6 separate regions of the Mus musculus genome follow, and all the other regions are reported to be linked to region 2. Evidence: microRNA targets listed by miRTarBase, many of them from high-throughput screens and not tested one by one. Region 2 holds a microRNA gene; each other region holds the end of a gene's coding sequence.
What was found. Region 2 holds the annotated microRNA mmu-miR-24-3p (UGGCUCAGUUCAGCAGGAACAG, at 3,048-3,069, opposite strand). A microRNA usually pairs through its seed, bases 2 to 8, with sites in the 3' UTR of a target mRNA and lowers its output. Matches are read on the target gene's strand: a 7mer-m8 pairs with bases 2 to 8, a 7mer-A1 pairs with bases 2 to 7 and ends in A, and an 8mer does both.

Region 1 (5,070 bases), not on the chromosome of region 2:
ACCAGCCAGCCATAGGCTAGTCATGACCCCTGGCAGCTTTGCTTGCTTGGCTGGCAGGATCCTAGCTAATTCCTTTCCTGGTTGCAGATGACACACAGCAACTGAAGGTCCTCCAAGGAAGTGCTCCTCCCACCTGCACTGGGGCAGTCTGCTTCATTCTGTGCCCTGGGCAAGTGGCTTTTATTGCTGAGTTTTCTCCTGAATCAGAGTCACACTTGTGGATCTCAACTTTGTACTGTCCCCTTGACTTTCAGGATGCCCTGCAAGAGATGTACAAGCAGAAGGGTGTATTCCCAGGGGAGCAGTTCAAGCCTGCCCGAAGGCCGTGGACCCTCCTGAACTTCCTGTGCTGGGCCACCATCCTCCTCTCACCCCTCTTCAGCTTCGTCCTGGGTGTCTTTGCCAGTGGATCCCCGCTCCTCATCCTGACGTTCTTGGGGTTCGTGGGAGCAGGTAAAGAGCACAGATGTGCCCGCTCACATGCTGGGGTCACTGGGCCACCCATACCCAGGACTTTTGGTTCATCGTGATGGGCCCAGGAGGCAGCAGCTGACCCAGGTCAGGGACTGAGTGACCCTGGCTCCTGAACATGGTGGCTGTGGAGGACTGTACCCTCCTCTCACTCTCCCATGGCTTCCTGTACTAGAGTGACCATACCCGGGGAGGAAGCAAGTGAGGTGGGGGTGGCAAGGCCAGTGAGGGTGTCCTGGTGAGGTTAGCCTCTAATCTCTTCTCTCTTGTCTTTCAAGCTTCCTTCGGAGTCCGGAGACTGATAGGAGTGACTGAGATAGAGAAAGGCTCCAGCTATGGCAACCAAGAGCTTAAGAAAAAGGAATAATTAATGCTGTGATTGAACACCCATAACCTGATGCGGTATCCAATTAACTCAATTAAAAACAGAACACACAAGCGCGAGGGAAAGAGACACTTAGAGACTATTTTTCTTATTAACTGGTGACTAATATTAACAAAACTTGAGCCAAGAGCAAAGAACTCGGCCTGCCAGCTGAAGATGGTCGGCCAGCACCGGCAGGGTCCCATCAGCCCTCTGCGGGGACAGAGGCGGGTTTGGGGGAGGTGGTGGGGCCACGGCGCTCCCCCAGAACTCCACCTCCAAGAGGCAGCCTTGGCTGCTCTCCCTTCTTAAACTTAGAATGAGGCTTTTGTTTATTATCAGTTATTTGGGGGACGTAACCTGGCCCCAACCCTGTGCCCTGTGCCCCAGAACACTGGCTCTCCCTGGGTGCCGCTGCCTACTGGGGGCAGGTCAGCTAGCCCCCTGTCCTGCAGCATTCATCCCGCCCTGCTTGGCACCTTAGCTTCCAGCCCCGGGAGAGGGAGGAAGTCTTCTTAGAGATAAGCACACACTGAATGTGGATCTGGCCCTTTTGTCCTTCCCTTGCCCTCCCTCCCCGCCCCCCCCCCTGGGGTGGGGTGGGGCTGAAGACCACACCTCCGTCCTCTGCAGCTTCTGTTGGCACCGCCTTGCTGGGGGCTGTGTCTAAGCACCTTAAGTCTCTTTTAAAAGTGAACGCCCGCCCGAGAACTCTGCAGAATGTGGAACCCTTGAGTTCATACAGCACCTCCATACTGTTCCCTCTCTCTCTCTCTTCCTCTGTAGCCAGCAGGCTGCCATCCTGCACAGGGCCAGATGGGAAGACCGCATGCGAGCCCCACACCTCAGAGCTGTGGTGCCTGGGGGGCTGCAGCCTATGGAACTCCCCTGGGACACTCTTCAGAGGGCCGTGTCACCATCAGGCCTCCCGTTCTCAGTCAGACCCCTTTAGTGCTTGTTAGCATTAGAATCTCTTTTTACAGGCATTGGTCTGTGGCTGGCTCGCAGCTTCTCCCTGACCTCCTCCTATTCTGCCTCTATTCAGGCAGGTGTCATGGCTGCTGACCATACCCACCATTGCCCCTTACCACCTCAGTGACATACACTGTCCTGGCAAAGAACAGGGGACCTCAGCCTGCACTTGGTGCCTTGCCAGGGTCCCTTTGCTGGCCCTGGAGGCCCATTTCCTTCTCGCTCAGCACAGGAAGGACCTGCCTGGTTTCTGGGAGACCTAGGTCCTCAGGAAACACCATCATAAGCTTTTACCTTCTGTCTGGAACTGGCTCTTTTAATGTCATTCATGTTTTCTAACAAGAAAAAAACTGGGTAATTTTTCCCCCCTGTGGCATACTGCAACCAGAACTCATAGTAAAGGCAGAGAAGATTTATAGTGTACACTGGAGGAAGGAGGCCTAGAGAAGCCTGAGGGCAGCCCTGGGCCTGACTGTATGGCTCCAAGTGCTGGGGACCGAGTCACAGAAGATGCTAATAGCCTCACGGTCCATGCACAATAGTGGTTTCTCCCACTCTTGGGTAACAGCAACACACAAGGCTGCTTGTAAGGGTGAAAGGTTGAGTCAGGCTAACTGAGACAATGAATCTCTTCCCCTCCAGCTGAAGACTTGAGCGCCCTGGCCTCTGCCAACTACGAGCCATCTTGGGCATTCCTGAGGGTCTTCTCCCTCCTTGGTGGGTTTTTTCTTTCTGTCTTTGTCTGCTTGGGGTCTCTGTCTTTCCCCACACACCGTCTCCTCACAAATCGGAAGGTAACAGGCCAATGGGCCCTGCCCTGCATGCACCTGCCTCCCCCCTCCCCCGCTGGGGAAAGCAACCTCAGAGCCTTTACCACTTCACTAATGCCTCTGGCTTCCCACAGAAGCCCTGAGCCTTTGGGGTCAGCTGACCGTTGAGTCTATGAATGACAGAGGATTCCGGGCTGCAGGCTCTGCCCTCCTAGGCCTGCTCATCATCCAATGCAGCGCTTCTGAGAGCAATAAAAACTACACTAGTAATGTGGGTGTGGGCTTATTTGAGGGTGGGGTGGGGTCAGATTTTGCTTTTCATCTGCTTCAGAAAGAAAAGGGGGAGGAGAGCCCCTTCAATTTTTCTATTAAATTAATAAATCTCAGAATAATGCTTTTTCTCTTTTTCCTTCACACCCTACTACTGATAGGCATGGCAGATGTCATGCCCAGATTCGGGCAGAAGTTGTGAAGCAAACTTCTGAAGCAGTTTGCTAGTCTTCAGGGAGCCCGTGCTAGAAGCAGCAGGCTTAGGAGCCAGAGGCATTCTGGAACTGGAATGGTTGGTGGCCTGGGGGGTGGGGGGGCTGGCCTGCTAGGCTGGCTCTGCTTCAGGCTCCCCAGGAGAGGGACCCCCACAAGGTCAGCCCAGACTGGGATATGGCCTCCTCCCCACTCAGGGTCAAGAGCCAGATAAGTGAGGCTCCCATCATCTCCCCGAGAGACCCTTCCACTGTCCAGGTGGTCTCCCACCCCTGGTCCCTGGCCACACCCACATACCTCATGCAGGCCTCTCTGAAGCTGTGTTGAACTTCAGCAATGGCTGCCATTCTCCTGACTGCTTGTTGAGCATCTAGGGACTGTGCTTCTCTCTCTGAGGGCTTTGTGGTAGCATCCTGATTGGTGACCATCCTTGGAGAAGCAGGAGCATCACACTAGGAAGGCTGAATGGTCAGAATGTGGGCAGTTCAGAGATCAGGGACACTCTCCTTTTGACAAGACTTTTTAACCCAAAGGTTAAACAAACAAAACAAATGCATGCTGTTTATGGGTCTTTGGTGAGACTGCATCTATGAGGCACATCTCTGAGATGCTGTAAGCCCTGTCCTGGGGGGAGGGGAGTGAAGGGGGAGAGGCGGAACCAGTCTGATTAAAGAGATGAGCTCTGAACACTCAGGCTGCTTGATAACAAATGGCAACAATGTAACAACACTTTCTAGTAGGAACAGTGCAGGTGTCTCCACAGATGCCTTGGCTGCCCCTCCCTCCCCTTTTGTGTACCTTGCCCTGAGAATCTTTTCTACCTAGTCCAGCCTTCATACCATCCAAGGAAAAAAGTCTGGGTGAGCCCCAATTTGTGTCAGGTTCAGGATGGAAGAATTAAGTGGCTCTTCCTGCATGTTGCCCTGTCTCTGCCTGAGACTGTATAGGACAAGCCAAAAGTAGCCTTTCCAGTCCTGATGACCTGCACCTAAACTGTTTGTCCCACACATAAACCCAAACCACTAGCTAGATGCATGCGACGCTTAATGCTAGCCATTTTGGTGTGGCTTCTAGCCCTCTACAGTGTCATGAAGCTCAGGGTTAGAATGGCGCACCTGAGATGCCTGCTGCCTTCTTTCTAGAAACATCTCTGGCCTATGGGCCAGCCCCAAACCAAAGGCAACTGGGCCTGGGTTCGGGCACCCCTGACCTGCCTCAGGCCTTGTCCCAGAGTCTTGCCGTGGGGCTGTCAGGTGGGTACTGACATTCACGCCCCAGATCCCTGCATACAGGGGCCAGGATTTTACAATGCAAGTTCAGGCTTTGGGCGATCTGCTTGGCTGACAGGGTGGACACATGAATCGAATTTATCACAGGCTTTTGAAATCGGTTAATCCAGGGGAAAGGTGGTATTCTCCCAAATCACTCCAGAAATCAACCAAGGAGAGCACTTCGCAGAGGTACCAGGGATGGTGGCATCCTCTCTTCACAGACAGCGACCTGTGAAACTGTGAACTTTGTGCTGACAGGTCACCTGGAGGTTTCTTTTTCTCCGTAGCTTTTTTGGGTTTCTTTCTGTTGCAAAAGTGTTCGGACAGAAGCGGAACTGTGAATGAGACTCTGAAATGCACTAAATTGTATTCTATTAAACTGGAGTTACTTGATTCAATGAAGAGCTGTAGTGCTCTACTTGTATTTATTGTCTCAGAGTAGAAACATTGTGACAATCAAACATGACTTGCCTCAAGGCCTGTACCTCCTGGCTTCTGGACCGAGTACCAGCAAGTACTATAACTACAGGAAATGGCTCTTTCTGGAAGCCGCACAAACCATGGACTTTAATGATCAAGTGCTGCGGTGGGTGGGGCGCAAATATCTGGGTTGCTTTTCCATTACTGAGAAATTGCCATATCGGACTGTGGGCAGTCTCCAAGGGATGCTTTGTCTCCAGGGTGCAACTGTGTTAATATGGACGTTTCCTTTTGTACTCTTCTTTTTACAAGTTTGCTA
Region 2 (5,070 bases):
CCTGTAGCCCTGGCCTCACTCCGGTTGAGGCCTGCTCTAATCCTTGTCGGAAGCATCCCAGATAACACGGAGGGGTGTGTCTCCTCTGGAGAAGAGATGGAGTAACTCTAGGCTGTCTTGGTTGGAAGGAGGCCATTTCTGGTGGGATCAGTGAGAACAGGCTGGCCCAGCCCTGGCCTGTTGTTCTCAAGTGATGGACATCTGCTTAGCAATGACGATGACAGTATTCAGTGGCAGGGTTAAGAGGCTGGTGTTTCTGCTATCCCACTCACCTCTTGGCAGTTATCTCACACGGATCCTCCTGTCCCGGCCCCTCTACCTACTGGAGGCATGGGCCTGGTGGTAGAGCACTTTGCTCCCATTGGGTTTCTCTCACCCTTCAGCTTCCTCCAGGAATGAAGTGAGGCTAGAAAACGGCATGGAAATAGTGCTGGCAACAAGTGTGCCTGACCACCAAGGACAGTCTCAGTCTCTCCAGGGACAGAGGAGCAGACTCAGGTTCAGGCTTCCAGGCTTTCAACACAGGCTCAGTCTCACATCTGAGTGGTGGGAGGGAGAGTTCCTTAGAGGGGTTCCAAGCCCCTGCCTAAGGCTTGGACACCAAAGCTCTGAAGACCAAGCACTACAGAGTGGTCTACAGCAAACACTGACCCAGGGATCCAGCTTCTTGCTCTGCCCACTTGTGGTTTGGAGCAGGAGCCTGGGTGATGATCCACATCCTTCCTCCGCCAACAGTTCACTCATCACCTGAACCATATGCTATAGAGCAAACTCCTCCCTGGGTGAGACAGCTCAGAGGAGGAGGTCAAGCCTCCCTAGACATCCATTCTTCCGCCCTCAGACCCTGCTTCGCATCCTATTTGACAAGTTAACGTTTGCAATGTTCTGTGTCCTGTGAAGTCAGGTGGCTCACGGAAGAATGGAGACTGCACTTTCTTGACTCCAGAGGTCTCAGCCAGATGAGGGAAGCCTGCTTCCACAGCCTCATGGGCCTCTGGTGCAGCTATGGGTGGCAGGAGCTGCTGCCTAACTTGTTGGGGTGGGGGACTAGAGGAGAGGGGAGGATAGGCTTGCTCTGCACCCAGCCAGAGGTGGCAAAGGACAGCTCTACCACAGATCCTTCACCAAAGCTGTGAAATGGGCATCTGGTTCCAGTGAGATCTCCACTTACCTGAAACCCATTGGCAAGAACCCAAGCCAGACACAGCCAGGCACAGGGCTCAGTGACCCATGGGGACAAGGGACTTGATCCCTGAACAAAACCCACCTTAGGCGACAGCTTTGTTTTGCTTTAGTGGTTCCTAAGAACAAAGAACAAAACCAGACTAAACCAGTGCTTGGCTGCTCTCTCCAGTTCAGAGGAGGTATGGGCCACTGAGGTTCTCAGAGGGGCCTTACAGGGTGTGTGGTTCTTAGTCCACCTCTAAGCAAGGCCAGAGTGCTTCTGAGAGCAGGAAGGCATAGACTCAGCCATTTATTTCAAGTCTTCACAGAAATCAGGGTAACATTAAGTAGAATTAACACACTTTGATACTTGTACCATTGTGGTATACAAAGCAGATAACCATTTGCAAGTCCCCTGCAACCATCCAAATGCAGTCACTGCTACAGCCCAGGCTCTGAAAACCAATGGTTCTGTGCGGACGCTCCTCTCAGTCTGTCCTAGAGCCTTTGTCACCCAGCAGGTCTGGGTGCAGAAGCCTGGCCAGCCAGTGGGATGCTCCTTCTGGTTCCTCTGTCCACCGCTCTGCCTTGGCTGGGCTCATGTGACTGCACTGATGGCTCAGTCTCAAGCACCGTTCTCTAGACAGTGACTGAAAGAGCTTAGAGCTTGTTCTGAGACTCCGCTAGTACCAGGCTGGCTGAAACTCCACATTTGGAAGAGAGCAGAGTCCCAAGCCACACTAATTTCCCTTTACTTCCAACCTTTTTAGAATTAACATTACCTGGAGGTAGGAAGTGTGTGGAAAGTGCCTGTTCTGACACACGTTCTTCTTTGCTTTTAAGGAGCATCAAATTCAGAAGCAAACTGGAACACTAGCAAATCTGGTACTTTATTAAGACATTTTAGGCTTTCCTGCATTTTCAAAAACAGGAATGCTCTGTTGACTGAACACATCAAAAGGGCTTTGCAGAATCCTTGGGGACCAGCCACAGGAGGTGTCACATGATTCTGCAGTCTCAGAGCATGGCAGCTAGTTTTTGCAATCACAGGAAGCAGGCAACCGGCTCTCCATCTGCCTAGGGGAGGGTGTCCTTCATTGAATGACTGCCTTAAAGTCACAGCTCAATTCCAGTGTGTAGACTCAGTCTCTCTAGGACTGGGAACAAAGGCAGCTGCCAGGTGCAACAGTTTATGAGGCTCCGCCTTTTATATATGCCACGGGAGCCCAGTCTCTGGAAGCCCAAGATGGACCAACCACTGCTGTGGGCTGATGGCCTTAGCAGCCACATAATCCTCCCTTTGATGTCCAGGGTCAGTGCAGTCCTGGCCCCACCAGGGCTAGGAGAAGGTATATGAGAATCTCACTGTGATCTGTCCTGTGGAGGAAACAGCAATAAAATTTATTACCCAGTCACCACAGCCATTCCAACAGGAGTCCTCCCAGCCTCTGACCTCCACTTGAGAGGGAACTTTTCATGGGAGGACAGGGGCAACACTGAAGCCACACCTCACAATCCTGGGTCTGGGGTGCACAGTCACGGCACAGGCCATGCAGGGCTGTGAAGCCCAGAGAGGTTCAGAAAGGCTCTACAGACAAGGCCCTTCAGACAGGCATTCTCACTGCTCAAGGCAGCGGTGACATGGTGTGCTCTGCCCCAACACGTGGCAAATGCTCAGCGCCTGCCCTACCTGCTTCTAGGGAATGCAAACTTTCCAAGGTTAGCTCTGCACTCTACAAATCCCCACCTCGGGAGCACATACAGAGGGATACCACTGCTGTTGGGTCTGGTACCAGACACTCAGGCCCTTCATCTTCTTCTCCGTGGGAGGCCTGCCTCAGGCACTTACAGATGGGTAGGCTTTTTGCTCAAGGGCTCGACTCCTGTTCCTGCTGAACTGAGCCAGTGTGTGAAATGAGAACTGATATCAGCTCAGTAGGCACCGGAGGGCGGGTCCAATCACAGCTGGGCAGTGCCTCCTGGCGTGCCCTGGGCATCATCTTGCCAGCGACTGTGGAGACATGGAGACCTGGACTGCAAATACAAGAAAGAGTTCACCACGCCCAGCAGGGACAAAGAACCACACCCCCACCCATCACGTGTGGCATCAGCTGAGACAAGGTTGGCTCAGTTTCCTTGATGCACCTGGGTTTAGTTTTCTGTGACTCCCAATACACTTGACATTACAGTGAACTAATTAGCAGTAGAACTGTATTTTCTGTAGACACACTTAAGGGTGGTCAGCACGCTGTTTGCACTCTTGACAACACAGCCTTGAGGCAGGCTGGTCTCTCCTCCTCTGGAGTGACCACCAGGCAGTGGCCTCTGCCTGGCAGCTGCAAGTTAACTGTCCCCATCTCACCTTCTCTTCAGGTGCAGAACTTAGCCACTGTGAACAAAGCGGAAACCAATCACTGTTCACCAATCAGCTAAGCTCTGCACCTTGTTAGAGAGGTCATCGCCGGCCATAATTAAAGGGCTGGTGAGCATCTTCGAAGGCTGTTGGCTTCTTTTGTTTCCAAAGAGCCACAAGGCGCCTCTGTTCTCCAAACTGCAGAGAGAAAGTAGCCACGGTTCTGCAGGAGCAGCCAAGGTCATGGTTGCGTGGTAATCCCTGGCAATGTGATTTTAATCTCAAGTCACAAATCAGCATGCCAGGAACCCAAGCAGCCAGAGCAGGTGAGGGCAGCACCATGCCCAACCACTCCCATCCACATGTGCTGAGTGTCCTCCAAACCGCCTCTGAGCCCACCACGCTAGCAGTGCAGCCTGCTGTCCTTCAGCGCGCTGGCTGCACTGTATAGAGGAGCATAGGGGACTGGGAGACAAAGGACACACTTATCAGCTATGAGACCAATACCTTAGGGACCATCCTTGCTCTGAGTATGTGGCCTTTAACCCTGGGACACACCCTGTTCTCCAATTGCAGACTGAATGGGTTGGGATGTCTCTGGGCCCCTCAGACAGCAGGTGTGGTGTGTAGGGAGGGAGCATCTCTCTGGCTTGCCTGTGACCAAGCATTTGGTTGGATAAGCTGAGGCATAGCACAGAGCTCATAGGGGACCTAGCAAGTTGAGGATTTGCTCACTCAGGGGGCAAAAATACTCTTAGAAGAGTCACTAGGACCACTATGTGACTATGGCTTTCCTAAGTGAAGGCCTAGGGACCTAAAAAGGGAACAGTGGCTTTACTGTGTGACCTTCACACACCACATACCAACAATCCCTCAGCTTACAAGTTTCTAGAGAAATGTCTGCAGGAGGCAGTGAAGAGGCGCCCCGACCGACTCTGTCTATCCACACAGGCCACCGTCCTAGCTTGTAGTGTGCAGGCTTAGCAGGCTGTACCTGCTTACTCCAGCCCACTATCTCCCCTGCTTGACTGTGGCGGTCCCCAGCTCTTCTGCAACAACATGGTCATACATAGTAACATGTTTTCCCTTCATCAGTGTAGTTCTTCAGAAAAATAAACATTACACAGAAGTGGGTTTTATAAAAGTGAAATGTGAAAATGTAAATTTAATGTCTGACAATGGGTTAAGATTAGCAACACAATTCTAAATATTCATTAATTGGTAATCATAGAGAACAACAGAGTAACACAGTGATTGATGTAAAATTTCAAACATATACAAAAGTAAACATCATATGTACCACCATGGCAAGCGATAATGTCCTGGGATGATGTAGAGATGATGACTGGCGACTATGAAAGAGACGCACTAGCCCACACCTGTCTCAGAACTCCACGCCCTGTGGCTGAACTGCATTACTGGTCCACAAGCTGGCTACAGAGGAGGCAAGTTACACCACAGCCAAGGACTCTGGGAGCCAGCGTAAATCCTGTTCCAGCACGAGATGGAAACAGACTTGCCTTTAGGACGCAAGTGTCACTTGGATGGAGGGG
Region 3 (5,070 bases), not on the chromosome of region 2:
GCTGATGGAAAAAGATGCCCAGCTGTGAGAAAACATCCCTTGGTGTGAGTCAGGCCCACAGGAGCTGCTGGTCCTTCCTCGGCTGGACATTTGCAGCTGGAGCTCAGAGATGGTGGAAGGTGCCCTGTGGTAGCAGCCTTGAGACAGGCCAATGGCCTCACCAGACCCTTTGCCATCTCCCTGTACCCAAAATACAGAGTCCTCTGGACCCTCAATATACATCCTGGTATGAAACAAAGCTGTTCTGGTCTTTGGAGTGACCTGGATTTCTACCAAGGTTCCTGAAAAGGGTGGGTACCAGTCTTCAAAATATGCCAGCACTTGAGGAGGGAGACAAGGAGAGAAACTGATGGCTCAGAGCCTTGTTGGCTCACAAGGGAATCTTTAAAGGGATTTGGTCATCATTTGTAGTATTTTAATCATGTCTTTTTCTCTACACTTTGAACAAAAGCCACAAACCTTCTCAAAACAAAGAATGGGTAGATGAAAGCCCATGTGCACACATCAATGTGTGTACACCACATCCGCACCCACATTTCAAGGAAACTGTACCTCTGCCTTTGAACTACATGCTACCAGGAGGAGGCATATTTTATGGCACCAAAGTGAGAGCAGAGGAGGCTCCAGGCAGAACTGAAAGCAGGCTTTTGAAAGCTGCCTTTACTCAGAACCAGGTAGCTGGTGGTCCTGGGCCCTGCAGAGGTATGTGAAGTCTCTACTTCCTACCTGCCCTGTGATGGGCTTGGAAAGGAAGCCAGGAGATACATCTGTGAGATGCTCAGTTAAGAGGCATGCTGTAAACCGGAGGGAAGGGAGAACAAGGGAGGCCTTCAATAGTGCATGGCTATGTCAGGCCAGGTTCTATAGCCTTCACAGCTCTTGCATTTTACAATATCTCTGTAAAACTAGGAACCATAACTCTAATGTCACTATTGAGCTAGCAAATTAATTGTTCAAGAGGATCCAGCCGGGCTCTGAAACTTGTCTGCTGTGTGGTGACATGGGCAGGAGAAAGATGACCCCTCTCTAGATCCCTCCAGCAGGCCGGAGAGCTGGCCCCTGGGTCATCAAAGCTGGAAAGTTGTTTCTGTCCCTCACAGGCTGAAGCACTCTGGAGAGCAGGCCCTGAACCTTGTCTGAGCAGCACATGCTCTGTTGGGGACGGGAGGTTGCAAGGATGGAGGGTGGGTATGAGGGGAAGGAGAGATAAGTGGGGTTGGGGTGTGTGATGTGAAATTCACAAAGAACCAATAAAAAGTTTTTAAAAAGATGATCCAGCTAGTGGGCTATATAGAAGGAATGAAGTCCTGGTCTTCTGGCAGCAAAGCCCACAAAAGTGTGAGACTGGTCGCTTGGTGTTCTTTCCAGCCTCTTCTGAGGGTGAGCAGGTTGGTCTTGTTGCATGAACATTTCTACTCACCATGGCTACAGAGTGCCCAAAGGTCCTTTACTGCCTCCCAGCACAAAACAGGCTAGGGACAACTTCAAGCTTTGAAGTATCTCAAGCAATCCTGTGGTGTCCTACAGTTACATCATAAGGCCATGCTAATGAGCACCCCACATAAACCAGGAGCTTCAATATACTTCTCTTGGTGGCTATACCAGTGCCAGTCAGATATGTTAACAACACCGGAGGTCACAACACAGCCTCTTCCCACCAGGTTCTTGCTAGCTCTGCTCCTTAGTCAGCTCAGTGGGGACACGCTGTCTGCTATCCAGTATTTGTCACAAACCACAGACACATTGTACAAAAGGGATGAGAAGAAAAATCTCACAAGACAACACAGTGGCTTTTGCAATGGGTATGTAGGCTCTCGTTTAATAGCAGTTAAAAGAGGAAGGTGCACAGGGGAGTGGGTTACTCATGCTCTTTCCACAGAGGAGCCCCCTTCTGCAGCAGCCTGCAGCAGAGCATGAGAGGAGAAGGTTCCTTTTGGAGGTTCAGATGGATCTCACTGCTTTTCTCCCACAAATGTGGAACTGCGCAAAACGAAAAGGCAATTTCCAACATGTCAGGGAGGAGTGACGCAAATGCAAGTGAATAGGAGAGAAGGAACAGAGGGGTGGAGGGAGGGGCACAGCAAAAGCAGGCTGAAGGAGGCGTGGTGAAGCCACCCAAGCCTGCACTCAGAGGTCTAAGGAGAAAACTGGCCACTGCCACCCTTGGGCTTGGGACCTGCTGAGCTGGGTGCCATAGAGCTGGACGGACTGTCAGGCCTGATGCATGATAGAGTCACTGGGAGATACTGCTTTTGTTAACTGGGATTCTGGGCTCCTGTATGCAGGTCCTGCTCTTCTCCACCCATACCAGTGTTACCTGGTACTGAGAGTTTTGTTTTGTTTTGTTATGTTTTTCCCTCATGAATGATAAAAAAATAAGTGAGCCCCTGCTTAACCAAGGCTCACAAACCATACTGTCTACAGGGCTATGGATCTGGTTAGAAGGCCACAGACTTCCAGGCAGCAGCGTCTCACCCCACCTGAAACTGAAGGAATATGGTCTGTAGGCATCTGAGGTAAGGTCAGAGTCTGAGGCCTACCAGCACACATTCTGTGCTCAAGTCTTCAAGGCCAGCTCAGCTTTAGGCCTAAGGACAAAATGAAAAAACAAAGTCCCACCTCATCAATTCATAGCCCCCTCACACTGTGGACCCCGCTTTCCCGGCTCAGAGGCAGCAAGCTGCTTTGTCAGAGAACAGCACAGCAGACGCAGAGCTGGGCAAAGGCAAGCGGCCATCCTCACACTCTGTGACTGAATGAGAGTCCCCGTCAGCAGGACTCTGGTGAGGAAGGTAGAGTGGCCCTGGTCCTACACATGGTTTTCATTCCATCCATGTCAGTTCCTTTGGGACAGAGGTGGCAACTAGACAGGCAGCAAGATGGAGTGATTAAAAGTGTCCCCAAAGGACAAATGTTGTGACAGCCCACTCTCTACACTGAAGGCTGACAAGCCCTGGTGAAGAAAGGGCCTTTCCTTCCTTCTCAGTCAGTCAGGTTTGTGGAGTCACTTCTCACTGGTCACAGACTGAGGGCTTCGAGAGATCTCCTTGTCTTCTCTTCCACAGGCCTGGGCTCTCTGCTGGCTAGTAAGTTTTGTGTATTCTTCTGTGACTCTTCCTGAACCTCTGGGCCATTATGTAGCCTGATGATGAGACTTGAAGGCTTATGCAGAACACCTGGGTAGCTTGTTCTCTCCAGTTGTAGAAAGCTGTACCTCTGTGTGGTGTACTTTTCTTGCTGGTGTTTGAGATTGCTATGGCAAGGGTGAGGCGTGTTCAAGATGACGTAGGCTGTGGTGGGCTAAGAGATATGGAAGTACAGCTGTTCCAGAATGACACAATAGCTGACAAACGTAATAAGTGATTGCTTGACCAGTCTCTCTGCTCCTCACTGGAGCTGGAAACACTTTTGTGGCATCTTGGTCAGTGTTCCACAATGCAATTAAACTCTCAGCAGCAGTCAGGCTAACAGCTTCTACAAGTGTCTCAGTGCAAAGTCCCTCTGGCCAACTTCACAGGAACGCCTTCACAGGATCTCAGGAGTCTATAGTTAGCCCACACTCCAGAAAACAGAGATGTGACTTCGAGAAAGCACTCTTAGGTGAGGCTAAGGGACAGCTCAGAAGATGGGAGCCTTGGGCTTGAACAAGACAAGCCTTGTCTCTGTGATGTTATTTTGTTGATGACAGCTGGGCCAGAGGCAATAATCCATTAGCTACAGTTGACCCTGTCTACATCATGGTGATAGATCCATTCTCAGAAACATCTAGTCCTATGGTGGTTGTGCCCAAGGGTGTAGAGCTTGGGACGTTTTCTTGAAAGATGGTAGCTGTAAGGCTGTCATCAAGACAGGAATATGCAATCTCACACATCATGAGGCTCTACCCATGGTGAGGGCACCCAGGCTACTTTCAGACTTCAGGGAATCTGGGCATTTAGAGATGCTGCTGGAATTGAGTGTGAGACTCTCAGGGACCTTAAGAATTGCTGATTTATGTTCTGAACCAAGAGTTATGGTCATAAAAGAAGAGACAGAGATGAATGGCATGGGGACTGGAGTCCTGACCCAACTTGGCTTTTTAAGATTCAGAAAAACAACTCACCTAGTGGGGCAACTTCCTTTTCAGCTAACTACCCTTCTCCCCACAAGGCTCAGCCAGACCTAAACTAATGAAACTGCAAGCTATGGGACCAGAGTGAAACTGTCATCTTGCCACATGCCACACTCTCATGAGCCAATAATTCAACCAGCAAGGCAGATAGATATCCTAAACTGAGGCTGGCTTTGGCATACTACATAGTCATGTCTGCCAGGCTCTACTTATGTACTTAAGCAAATACTTGAGAGCAAACAGGATATATATTATTATCCTTTTACTTTCTCATCTCAACTCCCAGTGCTAGGTACCCACTAAATTCGTGGAGCACTGGATGCGGCTCACCATGTTGGCACTGACAGTGTAGCTTTCCCAGGAAAGTGTAGCAGTAACTTCCTCTAAGCCCTGGTTCTTGCTTACTCTTGTGCCTCTCTTACTATAGGGAAAGGTTATGTGAAAACTGTACAGGGGTTAATAAAAAAATACATATGCTCTCTTTGAGGAAGAATGCACAAATGCAGGGCCAGCCCAGGGGAGATCCTGGACCACTGGCTACAGCAAGTGGCCCTCTGTGGGCCCAAGGCCAACATTCAGGAGTGGTGGCTGCTGATGAGTCCTCGGAGCTGCTTGGCCACGGTGTCAATCAATTTCTGCTTATCTCGCTCATTTTTCCGGAACTGTGCAAACATGTTATTCTTGCGGCTAGTATCTTTCATCCTAAACAGAGAAGGAGAGAAAGATGGCAAGGTATTTGAGATAGTCCAGACAAAGGACAAGCAGGAAGTAGGAAGATGGCAAGATGTATCTTAACCATTACCTAGAGTGGAAGAGTCGGGAATCTTTCCATTGTCCAGCTACCTACTCATTATGGACCTGTCTCTTTCAGACACCCATCACCTTCCTGACAACAAGCCTTTGGTCAAGAGCTGGCTTTAGAGCGTCTTTATCCTCACACCTCCCTCACCTAACCCGCT
Region 4 (5,070 bases), not on the chromosome of region 2:
GGGCGGCCCGCTGCGCACAAGGGCTCAGTGGGGGGCTTATTCTGGTTCCCTAGGTCTTCACCTCAGACACAGAGGCCTCCAGTGAGCCCGGGCTTCACGAGCCACCCTCTCCAGCCACCACCATCCACATCCCCAGCCAGGACCCGTCGAACATCCAGCACCTGCAGCCTGCTCACCGGCTCAGCACCAGTCCCACAGGTGAGCGAGCGGTCTTCCAGAAGTATGTAGGTGGTGTGTGCAACAACAGGTCAGGGGCAGGTGGGAAATGCTTCTTTGCCCATTGTATGTGGTGCCTGCGGAATGCCAAGCAGTAGTTTGGGATCTGTGTGCACATCCATGCATGCATATATTATGTATGTGAGTGTATAGGTGCTCTACACACACATGCAGAGGCCAGAGGAGGTTGTTTTGTGTTTTTTCCTGTTTGCTTGGGGTTTTGTTTTTGTTTTTTTGAGGCAGGGTTTCTCTGTATAGTTCTGGTGTCCTGGAACTCACTCTGTAGACTAGGCTGGCCTCGAACTCAGAAATCCGCCTGCCTCTGCCTCCCAAGTGCTGGGATCAAAGGCATGTGCCACCACCGCCTGGCTGGTGATTCAGAATGTGAGGCTCTGCTGTCTCTCCCTGGAGCATCACTAAGAGATGGGCAGGTGGGGTAGGGGTCGGAGGGGACTTGGCCAACAGCTAGTAACCTCATTTGCTTCTGCAGTGTCCTCCAGCAGCCTGGTGTTGTATCAGAGTTCCGACTCCAACGGGCACAGCCACCTGCTGCCATCCAACCATAGTGTCATCGAGACTTTTATCTCCACCCAGATGGCCTCCTCTTCCCAGTAACCGTGGTGACTGCCTCCCAGGAGCTGGGTCCCCAGGGCCTGCACTGCCTGCATAGGGGGTGAGGAGGGCCGCAGCCACACTGCCTGGAGGATATCTGAGCCTGCCATGCCACCTGACACAGGCTGCTGGCCTTCCCAGAAGTCTACGCATTCATTGACACTGCTGCTCCTCCATCATCAGGAAGGGATGGCTCTGAGGTGTCTCAGCCTGACAAGCGAGCCTCGAGGAGCTGGAGGACGGCCCAATCTGGGCAGTATTGTGGACCACCATCCCTGCTGTTTAGAATAGGAAATTTAATGCTTGGGACAGGAGTGGGGAAGCTCGTGGTGCCCGCACCCCCCCAGTCAGAGCCTGCAGGCCTTCAAGGATCTGTGCTGAGCTCTGAGGCCCTAGATCAACACAGCTGCCTGCTGCCTCCTGCACCTCCCCAGGCCATTCCACCCTGCACCAGAGACCCACGTGCCTGTTTGAGGATTACCCTCCCCACCACGGGGATTTCCTACCCAGCTGTTCTGCTAGGCTCGGGAGCTGAGGGGAAGCCACTCGGGGCTCTCCTAGGCTTTCCCCTACCAAGCCATCCCTTCTCCCAGCCCCAGGACTGCACTTGCAGGCCATCTGTTCCCTTGGATGTGTCTTCTGATGCCAGCCTGGCAACTTGCATCCACTAGAAAGGCCATTTCAGGGCTCGGGTTGTCATCCCTGTTCCTTAGGACCTGCAACTCATGCCAAGACCACACCATGGACAATCCACTCCTCTGCCTGTAGGCCCCTGACAACTTCCTTCCTGCTATGAGGGAGACCTGCAGAACTCAGAAGTCAAGGCCTGGGCAGTGTCTAGTGGAGAGGGTACCAAGACCAGCAGAGAGAAGCCACCTAAGTGGCCTGGGGGCTAGCAGCCATTCTGAGAAATCCTGGGTCCCGAGCAGCCCAGGGAAACACAGCACACATGACTGTCTCCTCGGGCCTACTGCAGGGAACCTGGCCTTCAGCCAGCTCCTTTGTCATCCTGGACTGTAGCCTACGGCCAACCATAAGTGAGCCTGTATGTTTATTTAACTTTTAGTAAAGTCAGTAAAAAGCACGTGGAAGCTTCCTGACTGTCCATCAGTGGCCAGGAGGGAAGGCAGAGCGAAGCCCCGTACATGTTTACACATCTTTTTGTTTAACTGGAAATGAGGCGACTCTGCCTGAATCTGTGTGTCCTTGTTACTGCAAGAAACCCACCTGGTACTCCAAGTGTGCTACCATTCCCTGGAGTCCTGAAGCTGGGGTGACAGAGGGAGCCACCTGTGGTTTTTATATAAGATGCCCCCTTAACATTCGGCACAGAGGAGGTGGCTCAGTGGCCCAATATCTGCGTGGTAAGTGGGATGCCCCGGTTTGATTCCCCAGCACTGACGGTCGTTGGTGTAACTGCACAGGAGGCAAACCAGGAGACTGGCCAGCTGGAGCTACACAGAGACTCTTCTAGACAATAAGACAAAAATGATCAGCACTGACCAGGGCAGAGCTAGTGTAGGTCTTGGGACACGTGAGAATTTATTTTCCTTTTTCTCTTTCTTAGGGCCTTGTACCCAAGCCTGCATGCAGCCTAGCACTAAGCAGGTGCTCTGGCACCTGACTGTCAGTGACTGACTTACCTGTGGTATTAACAAGTCAACATGTTACAGACAAATGTGGGGAGAGGAGGAGGTGGGGGAGACCTTCCCTTCTTTTCCAGACAATGTTCTTAAGTCTGGGGGAGAGGTACTAAAATTTTTCTGGGGCCTCGGCAGCTTGGAGACCCCTGCCCATCATTCTCTAGGACAACTGTCATGCAAGGCTGCACAGGCTGGGGAGATGGATGCTCTGAGATTCAGTCCAAAAGCTGGGGAACGTTCTGGAACCACAAATCTATTCCAGGCCTCTCCTCATACACCCACTCCATTGCTTGGACTCTTGGCCAAGCCCACCTAAAGTCACCCTGGGCAGTCATTGTGGGAAGCTGGAAACTGGGAGTGTGGCTTGGCTCTGCCCTAACTCCATGGGCACCTGATCCTCAGGGCTGGACCTACAGCTTGGGGTCAGTTCTCAGGCTTCGCCGCTGCACACTCTGCTGGTGGGCACAGGGGAGCCTCTCTGGATTTCTTGGCCTTCTTCTTTTTCTTCTTTTGGATCCCAAGCGACACCGGGTCCCCATTGACAACGCCTGCCTCCTTTACCTGTTCCAGACCTGGGGCTGCAGCCAGGTCAGCATTGTCCACCTTCTTCTTGGCTTTCTTTTTCAACTTCTTCTTCTCCTCTGCCTTGGCAGGGCAGTGTATGGCTGACTCCTGGAGAATGTCTGAAGCCGACACAGCTGCCTCCCGGCACCGCTGCAGTTCCTCATCGCTGTCCTCACTGTCACCATGGCGAGTAGTCAGGTTAGCTGGACGGGTCTCCGAGCTGCCTGGTTGCCTCCGGACCAGATGGAGGCAGCCAAGTAGCTCAGGCTCGAGTCAGCTTCTCTGCTCGTCAGTCACATGGCTGCATTAAGTACCCGAAGCCTCTGACCCTTAGTAGTCTCATCTACAATGAGGGCCCTGACAGTGTCCAAACCTCATAGAGCTTCTTCTCAGGAGACAAGGATGATAAAGGCGGGACTCTGGCCCAAGATGGCTGCTCTTGAAAACCATGGGATTTCCCCCTCCCCCCCCCAGAAGACCCTGTGCCTTCCTGCTGGGGGAATACTTTGCCTTATTATCTCATGATCTCTTGCTCCGTCTGAGCCTGACTGGGGTTGCTTAGCTATTCCTCAGGCTCGGCCAGGAGAGGCTGTGAGCACTTACCTGGAGCTGGGGGGCTGGCGCTTCCGGCAGGGTCTTGGAGAGGCTTCCTTCTTATGGCCTCCGGGGATGGATGTGAAGAAAAGGCGGAAGCCTAAGACACCACAGGACAGAGTCAGAAGTCAGTAAGGCAGACACTGGCCCTAAGACACCACAGGACAGAGCCAGCAGTCAGTAAGGCAGACACTGGCCCTAAGACACCATAGGGCAGAGCCAGCAGTCAGTAAGGCAGACACTGGCCCTTCCCCCAGGTGCTAAGGACGCAGCCAGTCCTTAGGTACTCCCAGTCTAGTGGCAAGGCTTAGACCTCACTGCCGTGTGTGTGTGTGTGTGTGTGTGTGTGTGTGTGTGTGTAAACTGAAGCTGATCTGAAGCAAGGCTTGCTTGCCCTGCTGTGGAGCCAGAGGCAGGGGCTTGTGGCACAGACTGGCTGCCACATCTGGACAGTGAGCTTCAGGGGCTTCTGTTTTGGGACAGGATTTCTCTGTGTATCCCTGGCTGTCCAGAAACTAGCTATGCAGACCAGGGTGGCCTTGAACTCACAGAGATCTCCCTGCCTCTGCCTCAAGTGCAGGGATTAAAAGCACCACCTTACCCAGATTCCAGGGGCTTTAGAAGTCTGTAGCTGAGTCTCTTACCTGTGTTGGCTTCCAAAAGGGTCCACAAAAGGGTCAGGACCAGAGAGAGCAGGAGGGAAAGACTGGGTAAGAAGCCACAATGCTTGCAGGTAACAGGGCAAGTGGGGGGATCTCAGAGCTAGCTCATCCCGGGAATGGGGTGCTGTGGTTCCCACTTCAGAGTGTGGGGACAGCAGATGCAAGAAGGGCTGCTGGCCACAGGCACACAGGGGCATCTCTGCAGGGCAGCACTGGTCAGCAGTCTAAGGACTCACCATCCTCCTCCTTTGCCACCTGCTGCATCTTTGCCTTTTGCGACTTCTTCCAAACTTCTGCGATGGCAATGGAGCTGAGGGAGAGGAGGCCCAGACCAAGGATGACGGTTCGGGTAACAACAACTGAACAACTCTTTCTTTTCCTTGTTTTTTTTTTTCTGGGTTTGGGACATGAGGTTGTAATCCCAGAATCTGGGAGGTTGAAGCAAGAGGACATGACTGGGGGTATGACATGAGCCTCCGCTCACCTGTCCAGCAGGGCTCCCAGTTTCTTGGCCACGTGGGCTCGGAACTCAGGAGTGGTCCGAAGGTCGTTGCCATCTTCCTCGTGCTGGTTCACCTCATGCCTACAACACGCACAGACAGACATCAAGACATCACTTCCAGACAGCTTAGAAGCTGCCCTCAGTAGGGAGGGACCGCCTGTCTCCGTCCCTCTGACACCCTGTGGTCTAACCTAGCATCTGGCACGCACAGGGGGAATCAGTGTTTGTTGAATGACTCAATGAAGCTTCCGTGCAGAGCACACACAGTACCTGCGGC
Region 5 (5,070 bases), not on the chromosome of region 2:
AACTTGCATTTCCTATGTAAAAAAAACATGAGGGGAAAGATGAGCCGACTGTATGTGGGTAGCCCATTGTAATTTACGAAGCTCGTTTACTTACATAGTATGTAATGCTTACAACAGCCCTGATCACGGAGCCAGAAACCAACTCCAGTACATAAGTACTCAGTACTCTTTTTTTTTTTTTTTTTTTTTTTTTTTTGGTTTTTCAAGACAGGGTTTCTCCTTATAGCCCTGGCTGTCCTGGAACTCACTTTGTAGACCAGGCTGGCCTTGAACTCAGAAATCCGCCTGCCTCTGCCTCCTGAGTGCTGGGATCAAAGGTGTGCGCCATCACGCCCGGCCTCAGTACTCTTCTTAGTAACCAGGGTGCAGAGGTCTCTGATTCAGTCAAATGAAATTATCTTCCCATTGCAGACTCAACGCAAAGACAGGCAAACTGGAAATGAGCTATTCCAAGTTCAAGACCAAGAACCTCTCTTTCCTGGGCACCTTTATTTTAAAGGTAACAAGGTAACAGGAGGTAAGGCCCGAGGCCGCCATCCTTAACTTGGGAAAAGAGAAACCTAGGCCTTTTCAGGCCCAAGGGGAGTTTGGGAACATCAAGAAGATCCCTATTCGTGAAGTAGATCTGCATAACTGAAGTCATCTTCACCTCTGGTCCCTGCAGGTAGCAGAGAACCTCCGGTTAGTGACAGTTCACCAAGGTGAGAGTGAGGACGGTGCCTTCACTGAGTGTAACAACATGACCCTCATCAACTTGCTACTTAAAGTCTTTGGGCCTATACATGAGAGAAACCTCACCCTGCTCCTGCTGCTCCTGCAGGTACAGCTCAGGGTGGGGCTTAGTAATGCCATGGCGTTTACATCTCTGGTTGGCCTTGCTTCTAATTCCAGTCCACTTCTCCCAGGTCCTAAGCAGCGCCGCCACCTTCTCCATTCGTTACCAACTCGTCCGACTCTTCTATGATGTCTGAGCTCCCTGACAGCTGCCCTTTACCTCACAGTCTCCATTGGACCTCAGCCAGGACCAGCCTCTGTCTGGTCCGAGATGACCCTCTGGTCCAGGCCTCGCTGACACTTTTGTTCTCAGCTTCTGCCATCTGTGACTACTGATATCCTGGATGGACACCTTGCTGGACTTGAAGTCCGCTAGTTGGACTTTGCCTAGGGCTTTCATCTTGCCTTGCCCTCCCTTTCTGTCCCATCTGCAGCCTCACCAGGTGGGCTTGTAGCCTCTATTATGCAAATATTCGTAGCTCAGCTTTCAGAGCGCTAACTCTAAAGGAATTCACCTGAGCCTTGAGAGAGAACCTGGGCTAGGGCTAGAGTTAGGGCTACATACTCCAAGGTGACCTCACATTTGACTATCAAATGAAGTGTTGTGATTGGGAAGCGTAGAGGCAGGGCCATGTGCTCAGAACGGTGACAATAAAGGACTGCCTTTTACTTGTTCCTCTAGTGTAGCATCCCCTCCCTCTGTCCTTTTTAACCTTCGTGGTGCTTCAGGAGTGAACACCGGGGCTTCCTTATACTTAACTGCTCTACCACTGAACTATATGCCAAGTCTGGTATATTTATTTTTTATATAGGCATTTTAGGATAGATTGGAAGGGTTAGACCGGGTACCTTTCCCAATAGGATACCGATCTCTGTTCCATCAGACCCTTTCTTGCAAAAAAGGCCTGTCACAAACTAAGACCAGACAGAACATGTTGAATAAATATCGCAGCACAAACTTGTGATAGCATAAAAGATCACAGTGCTCCATTTTCTGGCATAGGATTAAACTCCTAGGAGGTTTCATTTCGTTTCTTTTAAACCCTCCCTCCCTTTAATCTGCACTAGGGAGGCAGAGGCAGGCTGATCTCTGAGTTCCAGGACAGGCAGGGCTACTCAGAGAAACCCTGTCTCAAACAAACAAAAGCCAGATGGTGGTGGCGCACGCCTTTAATCCTCAGGCTTGGGAGGCAGAGGCAGGCGGATCTCTGAATTCAAGGCCAGCCTGGTCTACAGAGTGAGTTCCAGGACAGCCAGGGCTACACAGAGAAACCCTGTCTCGAAAAACAAACAAACAAACCTAAAAATAATAATGAACAAATAAACCCTCCGTCTACCAGATTAGAGGAGGGAGTGGGAAGTGCTCTAACCTGGAAGGAGAACGCTGCTTATAGTGTAGACCCTTTTCCTTTAAGACCAAAGACCGACTCAAATTTCCCAGAAACTGTAGAGGTAGCTCCAAGCTCCACCCTTCTAGTCTTCAGGTTTTGTTGTCGCGCCGTAGCGTTTAAATTTCGCGCGCTCTACACGGATTGGCCATTTCCAGGGGTGAGCAGCCTCCGGCTTGCGGCCACTCCGCCTTGTCTTCTTCCCCGGGTAAAAGGTTTTCAAATTGGACCAATCACTGGGCGCGTTCTCTCAGCTAAGGCGCGTCACCGAAGGGTTAATTGCAACCAACCAGAGGTGGGTATTAAAAAAGGAACCAATCAGGAGGAAGCGGGGGCGTGTCCAGGGAGTTTATAAGGCCGGGCTTGGCCGGCCAGGCGACCGTTGACTGCGGCGGTTGGTAGTTCGTGGTCTCTCAGCGTTGTTCGCAGCTCTTCTACCTCGTACACTATGTCCGGACGCGGCAAGACCGGCGGCAAGGCCCGCGCCAAGGCCAAGTCGCGCTCTTCACGCGCCGGCCTTCAGTTCCCTGTAGGCCGCGTACACCGGCTGCTGCGGAAAGGCCACTACGCCGAGCGCGTGGGCGCAGGCGCGCCGGTGTACCTGGCAGCGGTGCTCGAGTACCTCACTGCCGAGATCCTGGAGCTGGCGGGCAACGCGGCCCGCGACAACAAGAAGACGCGCATCATCCCGCGCCACCTGCAGCTGGCCATCCGCAACGACGAGGAGCTCAACAAGCTGCTGGGCGGCGTGACCATCGCGCAGGGCGGCGTCCTGCCCAACATCCAGGCCGTGCTGCTGCCCAAGAAGAGCAGCGCCACCGTGGGGCCCAAGGCGCCGGCGGTCGGCAAGAAGGCCTCGCAGGCCTCTCAGGAGTACTGAGGGGGCCCGCGCCGAGGCCGCCCAGCCCTCCCCACACCTCCACAAAGGCCCTTTTAAGGGCCACCACCTCCCTCACAGAAAGAGCTGAGCCACTTCGGGCTGCGGCGGCTTGCCGCGTCCCCATCCTTTCTCTTTCCCTCCTCTCCCCTCCCCGCCCTCGCGCCACTCTTCCCCTTACCCCGCACGGCCTCCGGTTCTGCCACGGAGGACGCGGGCGCCGCGGCACCTGCCCATCCCGGAGCTCGTGACATCGCTTCGCCGTTCTCGGTTGTGGACGACGGCTCCGTGCGGAGAGGCTGCGGCGCCTTCCCGGAGTCTCGGCCCCTCGCTCAGACGTCCGGCCGCGGTGGGCTTGAAGGTTAGTCCCTCCGCAGCTACAGCCCCGGCGTCTTTGCTTCAGCTTGGTGCTTAGCCCTCGCCTGGACCTTTGAAAAGTGACTTGATTGCCGGGCTTAGAGGAGGAGAAATGGATCACATTGTTTCCTTCGGTGTCACCGTTGCTGGCCTCATACCAGTTGACCCTGTCGCCATTCGTAGGCCAGTGTGGTGTGGCGGGGCCAAAAATGGTTGTAATGTGAACCCAGTTTCTCTAGGAATACCTCCCGGCAAGGGTCAGAGAGACGCTTACCGGCCTGTGGACAAGAGTTCTATACCTGCCGCAGGCGACTGGCAGCCGGGCCTAGCCATCCATCCCCTCTTCCCCAGCGACTCAACTACAACCCAAACACCTAGATACCAGCACAAGCCGGTGAATCCCTGTCTGGACTGAGCCTCTGGCTTCTGAACTGGAACTTTTGCAGCTATTACAAGTTTAGAACCTTAAGTGGGGAGATTTAATGGGCTAATTTTATTAAAGGATCGTTTGGTTTTGTTTTTTTAAAAAAGTGGTTTAATGTTGAATGCTGTAGTCCCAGGGCTGGACATATAGCTCCGTGGTAGAGCCATGTGCCTGGCACATCTTGGGAGAGAATGGGACTTCCCTTTCTGCAGGCCGTGGGAGTGGGAAAGGCTATGTAATCCACGAAGATCCCGTTGACTGAAGACAGGCTGTAGGAATTGAAGGCTGATTTTTTTTTTTTTTTTTTTTTTTTTTTTTTTTTGAGAACATGAGGCAAATCACAGCGTGTTTTACAACAGAAAGGTCTCAGACTCAATTCAAGTTTAAAAGGGCTTTGGGTTTATTCATATCTTCCCCAACTCTATCAGAAGAACCACATTCTAAACTGGTTTATTAGTGGTATTGGTTACATTCAAAGATTGGCATGGACTTTCTCTAAAGAGATGAAGCCCCCAACTACTGAGGGAAAGGCAGATATGGAGGCCCCAAGGTGAGGCATATCTTCCAAAGTGGAAGTCTCAACAACCCCGTGGTTCAATTTCCTGGGATAATCACATCCCTAGGGATGGAGCACAGGGCACTTGGAAGCCAGAAGTAGGCAGTGGAGTGGCAGCCAGGGTTCCTGTGCCCTACAGACCAGTTAGCGCACATCATTAAGCTGCCGTGCAACATCCAGGATGTTCTTGGCTCCTTTGTTGAGCAGCAAGCTGGCCAGGCTGATGCCCAGGTTCTCAGCAGCTAGCTGGGCTCCTCTTGGAATGTTACGGGCAGTGATTCCAACCAGTTGTGGGTCATCTTCTGGACCATCTTCTTGCTGGATGACAGGTTACAATTTTGGTAAGAGGAAGATTACAAGCAGTTCTATTTATTCCTTCCTCATCTCCCAGTCAATACCTGAACAGGGACCTGGATGGTGGCCTGCATAGTCTCTTGCATGCTATCTGAGCCATCTAGACTCCAGACTCCACCAGTCAGGTACAGCTAGGAAATAAAATGTTTGTACCAGGATATTTAAAGAAAGTTACTTAGATGTTTCGGTGCACATGGAAATGACAGTCCCTCCCCTCATCCATTTCCCTGGCTTACTTGCCCATCTTTCATCACTGTATGCACTGCTACGGGCACGCTGCAGCCTCCTTCCTGCAATGATATGTTCCTTTGAGCTCTAAGGGCCTTTAACACCACTTTTG
Region 6 (5,070 bases), not on the chromosome of region 2:
TCCATCCAGAGGAAACTGACTTTCTAGGTAAGTGACAGCAGGAGACACTAGGATAGTTTCAGGTTATACCCAACATAGGGCCAAACAACATCCTGGCAAAATCTAGCAGGAGGCAGAAATCAGAGCTGGTTTAGGAACCTAAGCAGGCAACAGAGAGCAGAGTGGGGAGGAGAGAGGACAGTGACTCAGGGCCCTGGAGGTGTTTGCTCTTTCTGGGCACAGCTATCACCATGCTCTAGATATCCTGAAATGGCTGGACACAGCCACTAGGTAGAGCAGTGAGGTGCCAGTGCAAGGGCTGACAGTCTGCTTCCCTCTGGCAGGCTCAGCTGTCTGGCCTGGCACCCTAGGATGAAAACTAAGGTAATGGGAACAGTGGGGGAAAGGGGCTCTATCCTACCCTCATGAGCTGCAAATTGAAAAGAGGACTTCCTGCTCTGCTAGCCCAAGTCCAGGCTCTGCTACTTTCTATAGGGAGGTTTGTGGCAAGTAACTTCATCTTTATACTGTGAGCAATTCCACCAGCTATGGGACCAGGCCACTAAAGAGTTAAACATGGTGACATGTGCAGAGCATTTTTCCCCCCCAAGATAGGGTTTCTCTGTATAGCCCTGGCTGTCCTGGAACTCACTTTGTAGACCAGGCTGGCCTCAAACTCAGAAATCCACCTGCCTCTGCCTCCCGAGTGCTGGGATTAAAGGCATGCGCTGCCACGCCTGGCTTGTGCAGAGCATTCTTGGGCCAGGTCTACCCTGAGTATTTCTGGGCTCATCAAGCAGGTTCCCCACTACACACATGGGGGGTGGGGGTGGAGAGAGAAAGACAGACAGAGAGATAGAGAACACCAAAGAGCAGTAGCTCTACCAACTGAGACTGCCACACTTCCCTCCACATTAAACCCTGATCTTAGGCAGTAGAAAGCGCCTGTGCTCAGGGATAGAATACTTTAGAGAAATCTCACTCAGCCTCATCTGGATCTTCAAACTTGGCAGTAGTGACTATTAGGTAATGGATGGCTACCCAGTGGGCTCACACCTCACTGACTTCCAGTCAAGTGAAGCTGGCACTGCAGCTTGAGGGACCAAAAAGCATCCCCAGGAGCTATACCACACATGGGGAAGGTGGCAAAATGGGGTGCCAATGCAGCTCTCCCAGACCGCAGGCTTGTGTTGATGGGTCCCACTGCTTCAGCGCCACTTGCCATTTATCCCCAGGCAAGGCGATGTCCATTCAGAGAAAATCACCTCAGTATAAGCCAGGTGTGAAGCACAAGGGCACCACAGCACTTGGATGCTGGAAACAAGACCAGCATGAGTTGGAGGCTACCCTGGGCTACACAGTGAGCGCCAAGCCTGACTTATGTACATGTCAATCTTTCCTTGCAAAAACAAATCAAAACCTAAGAACTGGGCTTGTAGTTCACTGGTAGGGAACCTATACTGAGCATGCAAACAGCCAAGTTCCATTATCAACACACACACACACACAACCTCTGTCACAGTCTATGGTATGCAGCTAAGCAAACCACTTGTTTCCCTCCCACAGCAGGGACACCTTCCTCCAGGATTCAGACAAGGCAGTACATCAGCCATACTCCGGGCAAGCTCCCATTCGTGGGGGGGAGGGGGGCCGCAACTTGCTATTGCTCTCACTGAATATTCTATTTCTTCCCCCAGATCCACCAGGGCTCCCACTGACTTGTCCTCTACCTACCACCACACTGCCCAATCATTGGTGACATTTGCTGTCCACAGCAAGCTCTCCAGTTCCCAGGACCTGAACCTACGCCCGCAGAAGCCCAGCCCGGGGAACAAGCTGTAACGGCCTCGCTACAGAAGTCAGTCAGGCCTGACAGTCAGGCTTCCTCTGTGAGGAGAGACTTCAGAGTACTCGTTGAAAACTTTGATGAGGAATATTCTAAGTAACACAGCAAACACGGGGACAAAGTTCATTCTTCACTCACACAGAGCACAGAATTCATGTCTGGGCACTGATGCCCCAAGTCACAGTGCCTGGCTCTAGGCCTGCTCCAGGATGCCAAGCAGACGGTATTCTGACATCCCTTACCTCACCCAACAACTTCTGGGAAATGGCACAAACACATGCACTTGGGCTCCATGAGGCTTCCTTTGCAGGAAGGGTGTGGGGCCAGAACAGCCTTGCGCCTCCCAAAGCCCAAGCCTGACACCCACTGCCCATGGCACCCAGTATCTGGATGCCATCCCAGCATCTGCACAAAGTATCTGTTTATTAATGACATACAAATAAAATGGATACAAAGAGAGATGGTTTTTTTCCCTTTGATTCCAGTGATAATGAACTGCTAGGAAAAAAAATATAAAACAAAATTACCTTCCAACTTTCCTCTTAAAAACAAAAATAACCCCCCAACCCTCCAGAAAAGGTTAAAAAGAACCATAAACATTTAACAGCAACAAAAATAACCTGAAATGGAATAGGTTCACTAAAACAAAACGAAAACTTTTAAAACCATTTTAACACTCCTGGAACAAAAAGCAAAAGAGCCTGGTACAGTAGATTAGACCTGCTGTTTCTCAAAACAAGAGGGCGGTAGACGATGCCTGATGAACCACTGGGCTTAACACCCACAGGAGTAATCTGCTGGTCTTGGCCACCATCCCGCTGGTCCAGTGAGAGATCCTGAAGGGCCCTTTGGGATGGGGCCTGCAGAGGGTGGGGAGCAGGGCAGGCACTGAGCACCATGAGTCCTGGTGCTGGGTGTCCAGTAACTGGAGACGAGACACTCTATTCACCTTACATGGGGCTTACACTGGGGGTTCCTTCTGGACCCCTAAGTAGGAGGTATCAGAGATTCATGATCTAAGACAGACAGAGATTAGGGAATAACTCCTGCAAGCATGCTCCTGTCTCATGATTCTCGGAAGGAGCATGCCAATCCCTTCTGGGCAGCTCCAACTCTCACCAGAGGTATAGCCCAGAAGCTAGCAAGCCAGACAAAAGCAGACCTATTCCAGTGTAAAGCTGCAAGGCCTTCTCCCAGGCAAGGCCAAGGGCTAACAACAGCACAGAGTGTTCAACAGCGGACAGACCAAGCAAGAAAGGACTCTCTGAGTCCAGGCTACTGCACAAGCCAAGGATCTGGGCGAGAGGTGACTCCTTTGGGGAGACTTGCCAGAACAGACAGCTGAGTCAGGCTGGGTAAGGTGAACAGACTCAGCTCGGTAGCAGAGTCTCTGAAAGCAACTGCACAAAGGCAAGCTCTCTGCCACGCCTCCCAAGGCGGAACTCAGGGGCAGCAATGGGGAAGTGGCAAGTCTGTTTTTCTAGGTAAGGATTTGGTTTTGCTTCCTTGAAGAACAGGATCCAGAGGTCAGGGCGAGTTCAAGTTCTAAGCCTGTATCCCCTGAGGAGGAAGGCCTTCTGGCTCTAGCCTGTCACTGTAGGGTGACACCCATGACAGGAAAGCAGTGGTACGCCACTGAAAGGCATCCCAGGGGTGCCAAGACAGTGGCACGAGTGCCTCATTGAGGCGGTGAGGGGTGGGGCTCGGGAGAACAGGCAAAGGGGCCTGCTGCTGGCTGGGGCCCCTCAGTCAGGGAGGGTGGCAGGGAAGTACCCCACCTTCAGAGAGCTATCAGCACCAAGAATAGGAAGAAATGGATTCAGCTATACCAGGAAGGAAGGGTTCTTCTGGGGAAGACGAGAGGCTCCCTGATGTTGTTCCCCTTGAGACTAAGAACAGAGGTATCTGGGCTGAGAAGAGAGGTGTGAGAACAGGCAGGACTTTGACTTCCTTCTTGAATAAAAAGGTCAAGTCAAGATCATGAAAATGCAGCAAAGTCCAAAGGCCCAGAGATGCCACATCCCTATGACAAACACGTAAGAGACAGCTCTTCCTGATCCTGTCTTACTGACAGTGGTGGAGGCAGACTCCCTCCTGAAGTTGGCTGGTCCCGAGACACCACCTGTGGATCTATAAGATTACAGTGCAAACCTTTGCACCTTGACATCAAGGGCTACATGGTCTCTGAAAGAGCACTTTGTCCCCAGAGAAAAGATGTCCAAGGTCTGTTGTATGCCCAGATTTGCATCCAGTTCTTTCTGGGGACCAGCAGACTCCAGGCCTTTTACAAACGTGGGTATTAACAACATTCCATTTGTCCATATGGGGCATGGTGTGCAACCCGGTCAGGAACTCAGCTGCAGACAAGAGGGAAGCCTTCCATTTTAGGGGCCCAAGAACTAAGTAAGTAGGCAGCTACTGCACAAGGATGAGCTTGACAGCCAACCTGTCAATCTCACGGCACCCTCTCCTCGGTGCTCCCTCCTGGCACTCTGCTTTTCCAGGAGGGAGGTGGAAAGGCAGCTGGGGTCACTGCTCCCCAAGGTTCTGTGTTCTCAGGATATGCCTGGCTCACGCAGAACTAAGGCACCCCACAGCTCTGAGGGTACCTGGCAAGTGGCATAAGACCAGGGAGGGGACAGGCCTAAGGAGAGTGACATCCCTTCAAAGTGGTTCTAGGAGTTCAGTGGCAACAGCCACCACAGTGGCCGCCTGTGTGGGAGTGCTGACTGTCCCCGAACTTGGTCCTCCGGCTCAGAATCTCATAGGAACAGTCCTCCCCACAGCAACCAGACATGCTGGGTGAAGAGTCATCAATTTCAAACCTGCAAAGACAGACAGGAAAAAGACTTGCGTGTTGGCAAGGAAAATGTTTGGCTCCCTGAGTCAAGAAGTTCTCCAAACTTCTGAGACCTCTGCAACGGGGTGCAAGGACTAAGTCAGAAGGCAGTGGGATAAGATAGCACAAACCCCAACGCCCATGAACACTGACTAGGACCAGGATGAGGGCAGGCAGGTACCTGGGAACCAGCAAAGGGACTACCCTGACCACCCTGAGGGACCACACCCGAGCCTTGTTCCTTACTGCAGTGCCTCTCGGAAGAACTGATAGGCGCCATGATTATGTTTAAAAACAGTTAACATCACCTTCTTCATCTGTGTGCTGGAAGAAAGCAGAGTGAGCACCTTTTAGAAACAGAATCCAAAGGCTAGACAGATGGTCCAGCACTGTACAACACTTCTGG

Region 1: miRTarBase lists Agpat3 as a target of mmu-miR-24-3p. Seed matches in the 3' UTR shown: 7mer-A1 at 976-982 and 7mer-m8 at 2,717-2,723.
Region 3: the mRNA of Exoc6b is a reported target of mmu-miR-24-3p. Seed matches in the 3' UTR shown: 7mer-m8 at 4,149-4,155 and 7mer-m8 at 2,664-2,670.
Region 4: the mRNA of Hnf1a is a reported target of mmu-miR-24-3p. Seed matches in the 3' UTR shown: 7mer-m8 at 926-932.
Region 5: miRTarBase lists Dpagt1 as a target of mmu-miR-24-3p. Seed matches in the 3' UTR shown: 7mer-m8 at 1,290-1,296.
Region 6: the mRNA of Naa40 is a reported target of mmu-miR-24-3p. Seed matches in the 3' UTR shown: 7mer-A1 at 4,393-4,399.

What each region holds. Positions count from the first base shown.
Region 1 is chr10:78,269,455-78,274,524 of GRCm38, reverse strand. It overlaps Agpat3 (1-acylglycerol-3-phosphate O-acyltransferase 3), which reads left to right. Exons shown (of 10, transcript NM_053014.3): 9 at 255-453; 10 at 750-2,962. The coding sequence ends at 838. Among named protein-coding and RNA genes, the nearest start is that of Gm30122, 7.9 kb to the right of the region's middle.
Region 2 is chr13:63,299,250-63,304,319 of GRCm38, reverse strand. It overlaps Mir24-1 (microRNA 24-1), which reads right to left and starts at 3,112; the gene lies at 3,045-3,112. It overlaps Aopep (aminopeptidase O), which reads right to left. Exons shown (of 16, transcript NM_001289926.1): 16 at 1,443-5,070. Mir23b (microRNA 23b) reads right to left here and starts at 3,836; the gene lies at 3,763-3,836. It overlaps Mir27b (microRNA 27b), which reads right to left and starts at 3,608; the gene lies at 3,536-3,608. It also overlaps Mir3074-1 and a transcript of Fancc not described here.
Region 3 is chr6:84,616,699-84,621,768 of GRCm38, forward strand. It overlaps Exoc6b (exocyst complex component 6B), which reads right to left. Exons shown (of 22, transcript NM_177077.2): 22 at 1,788-4,813. The coding sequence ends at 4,687. Among named protein-coding and RNA genes, the nearest start is that of Cyp26b1, 25 kb to the left of the region's middle.
Region 4 is chr5:114,945,822-114,950,891 of GRCm38, reverse strand. Hnf1a (HNF1 homeobox A) reads left to right here. Exons shown (of 10, transcript NM_009327.3): 9 at 54-198; 10 at 707-1,912. The coding sequence ends at 831. 2210016L21Rik (RIKEN cDNA 2210016L21 gene) reads right to left here. Exons shown (of 6, transcript NM_028211.1): 2 at 5,064-5,070; 3 at 4,776-4,874; 4 at 4,528-4,601; 5 at 3,639-3,729; 6 at 2,352-3,210. The coding sequence ends at 2,895. Among named protein-coding and RNA genes, the nearest start is that of 2210016L21Rik, 6.2 kb to the right of the region's middle.
Region 5 is chr9:44,332,152-44,337,221 of GRCm38, forward strand. Dpagt1 (dolichyl-phosphate (UDP-N-acetylglucosamine) acetylglucosaminephosphotransferase 1 (GlcNAc-1-P transferase)) reads left to right here. Exons shown (of 9, transcript NM_007875.3): 7 at 412-499; 8 at 665-820; 9 at 906-1,744. The coding sequence ends at 971. It overlaps H2ax (H2A.X variant histone), which reads left to right and starts at 2,564. Exons shown (of 1, transcript NM_010436.2): 1 at 2,564-3,926. The coding sequence starts at 2,611. The coding sequence ends at 3,042. Hmbs (hydroxymethylbilane synthase) reads right to left here. Exons shown (of 14, transcript NM_001110251.1): 12 at 4,967-5,020; 13 at 4,775-4,861; 14 at 4,197-4,694. The coding sequence ends at 4,521.
Region 6 is chr19:7,223,442-7,228,511 of GRCm38, forward strand. It overlaps Naa40 (N(alpha)-acetyltransferase 40, NatD catalytic subunit), which reads right to left. Exons shown (of 8, transcript NM_027643.1): 7 at 4,911-4,988; 8 at 2,227-4,650. The coding sequence ends at 4,509. Among named protein-coding and RNA genes, the nearest start is that of Cox8a, 8.4 kb to the left of the region's middle.